2 linked regions of the Cricetulus griseus genome follow. The protein of the gene in region 1 purifies or fractionates together with the protein of each later gene. This does not show direct contact. Links are inferred from orthologs where the notes say so. Each region holds a gene or a part of one and is shown on either strand. Other genes may lie near its edges. The genes, in order: Pold3 and Sprtn.

Evidence for each region.
Region 2: the proteins of Pold3 (region 1) and Sprtn purify together in Homo sapiens (affinity purification with mass spectrometry; 3 studies listed by BioGRID, with this or other methods). This does not show direct contact. The link is inferred for Cricetulus griseus from reciprocal best matches to the Homo sapiens genes POLD3 and SPRTN.

What each region holds. Positions count from the first base shown.
Region 1 is NC_048596.1:99,420,774-99,425,361, forward strand, and holds the start of Pold3 (DNA polymerase delta subunit 3), read left to right. Parts: upstream 1-1,641; 5' UTR 1,642-1,735; coding exon 1,736-1,795; intron 1,796-1,937; exon of another isoform or gene 1,938-2,160; intron 2,161-2,213; exon of another isoform or gene 2,214-2,346; intron 2,347-2,520; coding exon 2,521-2,576; intron 2,577-4,588. UniProt on the Homo sapiens protein: Accessory component of both the DNA polymerase delta complex and the DNA polymerase zeta complex.
Region 2 is NC_048596.1:201,642,547-201,647,062, forward strand, and holds the start of Sprtn (sprT-like domain-containing protein Spartan), read left to right. Parts: upstream 1-1,604; 5' UTR 1,605-1,910; coding exon 1,911-2,131; intron 2,132-2,139; exon of another isoform or gene 2,140-2,615; intron 2,616-2,808; coding exon 2,809-2,908; intron 2,909-3,841; coding exon 3,842-3,970; intron 3,971-4,516. Other genes in the region: Exoc8 (exocyst complex component 8), read right to left, coding at 1-1,388. UniProt on the Homo sapiens protein: DNA-dependent metalloendopeptidase that mediates the proteolytic cleavage of covalent DNA-protein cross-links (DPCs) during DNA synthesis, thereby playing a key role in maintaining genomic integrity.

The sequences.
Region 1 (4,588 bases):
CTCTTCATTCCTTCCTCCCTCCCTTCCTTTCTTCCTTTCTTCTTTTCTCTTTCAAGACAGGGTTTTTCTGTGTATTCCTGGCTGTCCTAGAGCTCACTCTGTAGACTAAGCTGGCCTTGAACTCACAAAGATCTGCTTGCTTTTGCCTCCCAAGTGCTGGCATTAGAGGTGTGCACCACCACTACCCAGCTCACAGTCTATTTCTTATCCACTATGCTACAGGATTGAACTACAATGGCTGGGGGCTATTATTAAGGAAGGTGTGTGTGTGTGTGTGTGTGTGTGTGTGTGTGTGTGTGTGTGTGTGTATTGTTGGCAAAAACTTAAGTAGAAATTTTCTAATCTAATGATGTTTTCCTAGGAATAAAGATGGTGTGCCCCATTACACAGCTTAGTAGGCACAGCAGGACCTGGCTCCTCCAAAGTCCTTTCTCCCCATTGGCCTTTTCTCCCAATACTTGAGTAGCTAGAGCAATCTGAGAGAGTCTTTCTCCCCAGACCCCTCCGGAAAACCTTCACCATTCTCTTATTTTGGAAGGATTTTTTTTTTTTGGTGTTTTGAGACAGGGTTTCTCTGTATTGCTTTGGAGGATGTCCTAGAACTCGCTCTATAGACCAGGCTGTCTTTGAACTCACAGAGATCCTCCTGCCTCTGCCTCCCAGGTGCTGGGATTAAAGGCGTGGGCCACCAACGCCTGGCTTGTAAGGATTTTAACAGGCACACTGTCACTATTTCTCACTGCTAGAGAAACACTTAGAACAGAACATCCATTTAATCTTTGTTGTTGAATAAAGGTATCAAATGGCAAGGATGGGGTATCACATTTTACCTCATTGTCGATGCAAAAAGCACAGCTCTCATCTTAAAGGGAATGAGTGATAGTTTATTCTGGAGCTATTTTGAGTGACCATGGCCTGGGTACCCCAAACTCCATGTTCCAATGTGGGAACACTTTCATGAAGTTTTATAATTCTACAGAGCAATGAAAGCCACAAATCAAGGCAAGTTTAAAATACATTCAGAGAGGCAGGTATGTCAATATGGGGGAAGCTTTCCTATAGGATCAAGATGCTATCTGATGACAATTCTTAGCTTTTAGATTGGTGGAAGCTAGTGGTCTGCTAACTTAACCGATTCGAAAAGGTTTCCATCCATTAAGTCACAAGGTGATAATTCCGATTCCGAAGTGGGTAAGAAAGGGCTGTTCCAGAGGGCTAGAACTAGGCCAAGATAAGGTAATTAGTCTCTGGACCTGCAACATTCCAATCTCTCCAAATTACAGAAATGCTGATCAGCCAAGCAGTCTCTGCAGACATGGCTTCTTTTCAAGCGTTTAGTTCACACCACCACCCAGGCTAGGAAAGTGAGCTACCATTGAGTTCCAGTGCTAGACAACAAGAGGTATTTTTCTCACGTTCCAAGCGGAAAAACTCTTGCTTAGAGCGGTAAAACAAACGGTCCTGGGTCAGTCAGTATACCAGTGACAAAGGAGAGATTGGAAAGTTCCCTGGTGCACACAGACAACCAAGCTCGCACCTTTCACTTCCGTCCTACATCCAGTTTCCCTTACGTCACTCCCTTCCGGACTCGCAGTGGTTTGGCCCTCGTCCGCCGCCGTAGCGCGTCGCCTCGGTTGCCGTGGGAGACGACCCGCGACCTGGGAGTGAGCGAATCCGTTTCCCGCCGGCGGGAGCTGTGGCTGTGGTTGAGCCAAGGGCTCGGAGCTGCACCACCATGGCGGAACAGCTGTATCTGGAAAACATAGACGAGTTCGTCACGGACCAGAACAAGATCGTGAGGAACTAGGACTAGGGGGCAGGCGTGTTCGGGGCGGATGTGAGGGGTCCTGGGCCTGCCAGGGCGCCGGGGGTCTCGACCCCGGCGCTTGTGGCTTCCTGGGGACAGGTCGAGGGGGGCACAGGTCACCGCGACGCACCCTCGGGTGGGAGACAGTCCCTGCGGGCAGAGCCTCCCGCGTGCTCTCAAGTTCGCGGGCCTTGGGCGGACGTGTGGGTCTCTGGGGCGTGGAGCAAGGGAAGCAGGCAAGAGTTCGTGAGGCCCCCCTCCCCCATGTCCTGTCGGGTGGTGGGCCCCTCAAGCGGCCCACCCTCAAGCGGTTGAGGAGACCCGACGTCCTATCTGGGCTACTGACTGGTGGTTTACCCTCCAGACACAGTTTCCTCTTCCTGGAAATTTAAATATTGAAAGCATTCAGCATGACCCGCCTCTCTGGGCTGGTGTAACGATGGAGACAGATCTGGAAGTGAAGCAACTTTGTCACAGTGAGCCCATGGACACTGTTTGGTACCGGGTGTAGATTCTTTTGCATCGATCAGTCTGTATTTGTAAGATTAGTATCTTGGTCTTACTTGTCACATAGATGGTTTTTCTAACTGATATCTATTGTAGTTTACAGGACATAATCATACAAGAATAAGAATCTTTGGGAGTAGGCTCTTGGCACTTATCTGTACTCTGTAATCATCTAATAAAACCTTAAAAAATGTTTCCTCTTTCAGGTGACTTACAAGTGGTTAAGCTATACACTAGGAGTTCATGTTAACCAGGCAAAACAGTAAGTCCAGTTTATGCTAATTTTAATGATGCTTTTTTTTCACCTTGTTTTTAAATGCTCAGAGAGCTCTTAGGTTAGATCAGACTTTCCCCCCCTTGGGTTAGTAGAGAATATTATTTTCACTGCTTCTTTCTTTTGGTGTGTGTGTATGTATGTATGTATGTATGTATGTATGTATGCTTGCACAGAGGTCACAGAACACGTGGGATGGTCAGGATGATTTGGGGCTCCTTTCCTCCCTTTCCAACTAGTTTGGATGGGATCTCTTGTTATTCTCTGCTGTGTACACCAGACTGGCCTTCAAGCTTGTGAGGTTTCTTCTGTCTGCCTCCCTCTCACCACACCACAGCTATGCTATCTTATCCAGCTTTGTTGTGGTTTGTGGATCTGAACTCAGGTCCTTATGCTGGCGTGGCAACCACTTGACTAGCTTTGCTGTTCCCCCAGCCCTGTTTTTCTCTCTTTTAGATCAGTGGACTTGCTGTTTTGTTTTGTTTTGTTTTGTTTTTCCCTCCAGACTTGGTTAACATCACTTTGTATAGTGATTTGAATGAGAATGCTTCCCCCATAGGCTCATATGTTTACATTCCCAGTTTGTGGCACTGTTTGGGGGATGGTCTGTTTTGTGCTTATGCTTGCCTTTGAAGATAGGAACTCTCAACTTCCTTCTCAACCTCCCTGGCCTCTCCCACACCTCCTTTCACGATGGACTCTTAACTCTCAGGAACTGTACTCCCAAATAAACTCTTTATTCTATCTATTGTTTTTGTCATGGTCTTTTATCACAGCAACAGAAAAGTAATATTACACTTCCGTTATTTCGGTTTTATTAAATGGGTTCACCAATCCTGTTTATAGCTCAGATTTATGTGTTTGTTGTTGTAGATCTTCATGTTTCCACATGTGTTTATTAGGCCTAACTTTGACCCATATTTTCATAATGGTTTCTGTTTCTGTGATAAATACTGACTAAAACCAATGTGGGGAGGAAAGGGTTTGTCTTACAAGACAGGAACTGAAGCAGAGACCATGAAGGAGCCCAGCTTACTTACTGGCTTGCTCTCTTTGGCTTGTTCAGCTACCTTATACAACTGAGGACCATCTGCCCACTGTGGGCTGGGCTCTCCTACATCAATTAACAATTAAGAGATTGCCCCACAGACATGCCCACAGGCCCATTCAATGGAGGCAGTTCCTCAGTTCAGGTTCCCCATTCCTGAGTGTACCAGAGGCCAACGTGTGTTTGACATTAGCTGTCTGATAGTATAGTGTGAGAACTGGAGCCAATGAGATGGCTTGAGTGGGCAAAGGTGCTTGCTGTTGAGCCTGATGGCCTGAGTTAAGTTTTGGGGACTTACACATCAGAAAGAGAGACAGACTGTCACAGGTGGTCTTCTAATCTCCACCGGTGACTGTTGCACACACACACACACACACACACACACACACACACACACACACACACACAAATTAATTACAATTTAAAAAAATATGAGAGTATTTGCCGGGCAGTGGTGGTGCATACCTTTAATCCCAGCAGAGGCAGGCAGATCTCTCTGAGTTTGAGACCAGCCCGGTCTATAAGAGCTAGTTCCAGAACATGCTCCAAAGCTACATAGAGAAACCCTGTCTTGAAAAACTTAATAATAATAATAATAAAAGATATGTGAGTATTTAAGTGAAAGTAAAGAGCGTGCTTAGGATGCCAGAGCACTGCCTTCTTGCATTCTGCCACATCTTTCTGTTGTTGTTGTTGTTAAAACAGATCTGACTTGAGGCCAAAAAAGAAAAGACAACTTTGAAATCAATGCTAGAATGTTTTGATATGCAAAGGTACAGAATGTTGTCTAAATCCCAAGAGGAAGAATGGGTTAACCATTTGAGAAATCTTGTATGGGTTAAATGCCTTGTTTAGTTTGTCCTGCTCCTGGATGGGCTGATTTTTAGGGGCGTTCTTTGAGCTGTACCAACATGGAGCATGTCTTTGAAAGCCCCCAATCTCCCAGAGTAGG
Region 2 (4,516 bases), about 100 Mb from region 1:
TCCAGGAGGCTGGTAAAGAAGACGTGGCACAGCTTGTGAATGTAGAGCAGAGTGGCGCCCTCAATTCGAAGCTGGCGGATGGCAGTGTGCACAGCTGCTGCCCTGTTCCTCAGAAACAGCTCACAAGCCTTAGTGCACTGGCCCAGTCGGATCAGCTGAGACACTGCCCTGCGAGTAGCTTTAGGGCCACCTCTCAGAGAACGATCCGGGGAGAGCTCAAACACCAGCACCTCGGTGAGCTGTCGCACTCGTTCATCCACTTTGGCCCTCAGTTCTTTCACAGGAGGTGGGCTGGGCTTATCTTCCAGGTAGTGATTCAATTTGTCCAGCAAGTCCACTGCGCCCTCAAAGTCCCTCTGCGCAATACAGACATCCAGGTCTTCGGGCAACTCCTGGATCCACTCCATGGAGAGGTCTACCTTTTCCTCCTCCACCTCGGGGGTGGCCAGCTCTTCCTCATCCTCATCCTCAAAGGGGTTGCTGCCCTTGGAAGTCACTGGTGGTGGCGCACGAGGGGCCGCTGCCTCCTCCTGCTCCCTCCTCCTCTTGTCACTGAGCGCCCTCTTGGTTTCCTCCAGCACTTCCAGCCACTCGCGTTTAATCTTGGCATTTTCTGCCTGAAAGATGCGGCTCTCGGGGAACATGAGAAGCTTGAACATGTCTTTCATCGGTGGGTTGTCCTTGACGTTGACCACCGCCAGGCGGTCCAGCGGGTAAAGAGCGTTATAGCGGTACATGCCTCGCCGCTGTGGCAGCCAGGTAGCCACCAGCAGACAATCGTTCATGAGGAAGCCGTGCACGCGCTGCAGCTGGGCCATGTGGTCCGCCTCGTACTCCACCAGGTCCCCGTTGTACACCAGGTACTGGCCTGGCGTGTCCAGCAGGTCCCTGCAGCCCTCTACCTTCTCCAGCAGCGTGGTGAGCGTGCGTTGCTTGCCCTCCTCGCCCATACCAGGGCCCTCGCGGGGGACGCCCGTCGACCCGGGCAAGAAGCCTGCCTGGGCCGCCCCGCGCTCCCGCGGCCCCGCGCCCGCCGTGTCCTCACCCGTGGAGGCTCCCGCGGCGGCGGCGGGCAGCAGTGCCAGCGGAATGCTCTCTAGACTGCTCTTCTGCTCTGTCAGCAGGTGGCTCAGCTGATACATTTCGCTCTCCAGGTACGAGATCTCGCGCGCCGTCTCGATGAACTGCCGGTAGTTTTGATAGACGTTGCGCTTCAGGTTCTGTGCCGTCTCCTCCGCCAGCGCCTGCACCCGCTGTCGGTGTTCCTGCAGGTCGCGGTCGCCGTCCGACTGTTGCGACAGCTGCTTCACGTACAGCCGCGCCTCGAAGCCCCCAGACTCCAGCTGCCTTCGCAGGCGGCTCGCCCCGCTGTCGGACATGGCTGACATCCGTCCTCCTCCCGCAGTTCGCGGTCGCTGTCACTCGCCGCCGTCCGGCCCCACCCGAGCCCGGCGGAGAAGACCGCTGAGGAAGCGGGGCGGGAGCAACACCCAAACGCCTGCGCCGGGGCTGAGCGCTGCATTGCGCCTGTGCTAGAGTCGAGACTCTCCTACTGCGCCTGCGCCAGGGGCGGAGTGCCGACGGCGCGCCTGCGCGAAAAGCGGCAGCGACTTACGGCGCGTGCGCGGACCAGCCAGTACGGAAGTCAAGAGGCTCGGGCGCGGACCAGACTTGACGTGAGGTGCTGAACTTCAGGGGCGTTCAGGAGACAACCGGCTTCCTGGAGCCTTCCCTAGCCCGAGCCCCGCGTTCCTAAGCCTGTGCCCGCGGGGCGGCTCAGAGCCACTTTCGGTTAGGCATTCGAGGCGAGCCCTCGCGCACTTGACAGCCGGGCCCGGAGCTCTCGCGAGACCAGTGCGCTGCGCGAGCACCGCCGGCGTCTTCGGAGTAGCTTGGGCGGGAGTGGCGCGATGGACGAGGATCTGGTGGTTGCGCTGCGACTGCAGGAGGAGTGGGACGTGCAGGTGGCACGGCGCGCGGCGGCGCGGGAGTCCGTGTCGTTGGTGGATGCGTCCTGGGAGCTGGTGGACCCCACCCCGGACCTGCAGGCGCTCTTCTTGCAGTTTAACGACCGCTTCTTTTGGGGTCAGCTAGAGGCGGTGGAAGTGAAGTGGAGTGTGCGCATGACACTGTGAGTGCGCCCACGAACGGCTCGGAACGTAGGGAAGGGCGAGGCCGCTGAGTTGTCGTTGGTGTCCCCGCCTCGCGGTGGAGGGAAAGGTCACTGGAGACGTGCCTATATTCCAGAGTGGGCCGGGCCTAACGGCCCTCAGTGATGTACCAACAGGATTCCTTTTCTACCCATTGAATTTGAGAAATCCCATTCGAAATAGTAATCTGCCCTTCACTTACACCGTCACATAGAAAGAAAGCAGCCTGCAGTAAAGCAGGGCGAGATGTAGTATGTAGCGTCCGTCTAACTTCACACCAACCCTATGACCCTTTTGGAGAAGTATCCGGGCAGACGTGGGCGCTAAACCATTCCCTGCTGATGAATGCCTGTGTGGAGCAGAGTGGGTGAGGGTGAGCAAGCGTTACTGCCTGCATTCCAAGTGTCCCACTCAGGAAAGCCGTATCCCATCAGGGACTCTTTCCTCTGAACTGCACTAGAACCGGTAAGGATTTGCTCATGTTTTTTGTTTTGTTTTTGAGACAGGGCTTCACTGAGTATCCCTGGCTGGCCCGGAATTCAGAGATCTGACTGCCTCTGCCTCCATAGTGCTCCCCCACGACAGGCTAGGATTTTACTTTTTGATCCGTCTCCACTGTTCTTGGTGAATCTAATCCACTGTTGTGACTGCTTTCCAGGTGTGCTGGGATTTGCACCTATGAAGGAAGAGGAGGAATGTGCTCCATCCGTCTCAGTGAACCTCTTCTAAAACTGAGACCAAGAAAGGACCTTGTAGAGGTATTCTTTCCATAACCCTAGTTCTCAGCTCAGTGATTTGCAGGAATTTTTTTTTTTTTTTTTTTTTTTTTTGTTTTTTGAGACAGGGCTTCTCTGTGCAGCCCTGGGTCTCCTAGAACTCTGTCTGTAGACCAGACTGGCCTCTTGAGCTCACAAAGATCCACCCGTCTTGCCTCCTAAGTGCTGGGATTGAAGGTGTGTTCCACCACTGCCCAGGCCTTTTTAAAAAATTAAAGACAGGATCTTGATAGTAGTCCAGGCTGGCTTCAACCTCAAGATCCTCTTGCCTCAGCTCTGAGGGTTGGGTTTTTACAGCTGTGCACTACCATTCCTGGCCAGGACATTTTATTGAGTTTTAAGAGACAGTCTGTTTGCCAGGTTGGCCCTGGTCTTATATGATTCTCTTGCTTCAGCTTCCTCAGTGAGCTGGCATGCATGAACCCAGCTGTTTTTAGGGGGGTAGAGTCTGGTGCTGCCAAACTGGTCTCAAACTCCTGATCCTTCTGCCTCCACCTTGAGTGCTGGGATCACAGGTGTGTGTCATGCCCAGCATATACTTAGCTTTGTGCCCATTTAGACCTGGGCTATTCGCTCTTTTGGTGTTGGCATCACGAGCCCCGTATGTTCAAATTTCAGAGCTTGTGATACGTGTTGCAGAGTTGTCAGAATTATCTTTTGACTTTGCTTGCGGTGGGTTTCTCTACCAGAACTTTAAAGTTTTTATGTGGTTGGATTCATATTGAGTTGGTAGATAAATAGGGCTTTTTTGAGCAATTGTAATTCCTCGAAGGGAGTTTGTCTTACTGGGATCTGCAGAGGTTGAAATAGTATATGCAACGTTTTGTGTACTTGGGCCTACAGACCCCAAGTTAAGAAAGCGTTTTCATCTTCAGACATGCCCTAGAAAATTAATTTTCTGGTTTTCTGTTTCAGACTCTTTTGCATGAAATGATACATGCCTACTTATTTGTCACTAATAATGATAAAGACCGGGAAGGACATGGCCCAGAGTTCTGTAAACATATGCATCGAATCAACCAACTGACAGGAGCCAACATAACGGTACACTAAGCTACACATGTTTTGGGAGCAAGGGCAAAACAGTAAACCAGACTGTCCTCAAACTTGCAAATTCTAACTCAGCCTCCTAAGTACTGAGCTTATAGGTTTGTGCCACCAAGCCCAGCAGCCATTCAAAGTTATACTTAGATTCATTCAGTAAAAGTGAAGATTTTTCAGCCTTGAATAAGAATCCTACAGAAATGAATGGACTTGTCTAGGCGCTAGAGGTAGAGTAGCTACAGAGCCAGCAGTCCTTTTCCTTGAGGCCTCCAACAACTCCAGATCAGCATTTGAGGCATGCTCCTTTGGTTCTGCATTACACTTTTCTGGACCTTCAGGAGGAGCTTCTCACACATGTGTGACAGTCCCTTATCAGAAGTTCTTTGAGTCCTGACAGTGCAGTATTGGAGGAGATATCACAGCCAAGGCTGAGGTATGCCCTCCCTACGCTGGTGATCATGCTTGTACCACTGAACTCTTCTGGAACTGTCTGTTACCATGCGAGTGACGTGACAACACTTCCTGTTTTTTGAGACCTTGAGAGCA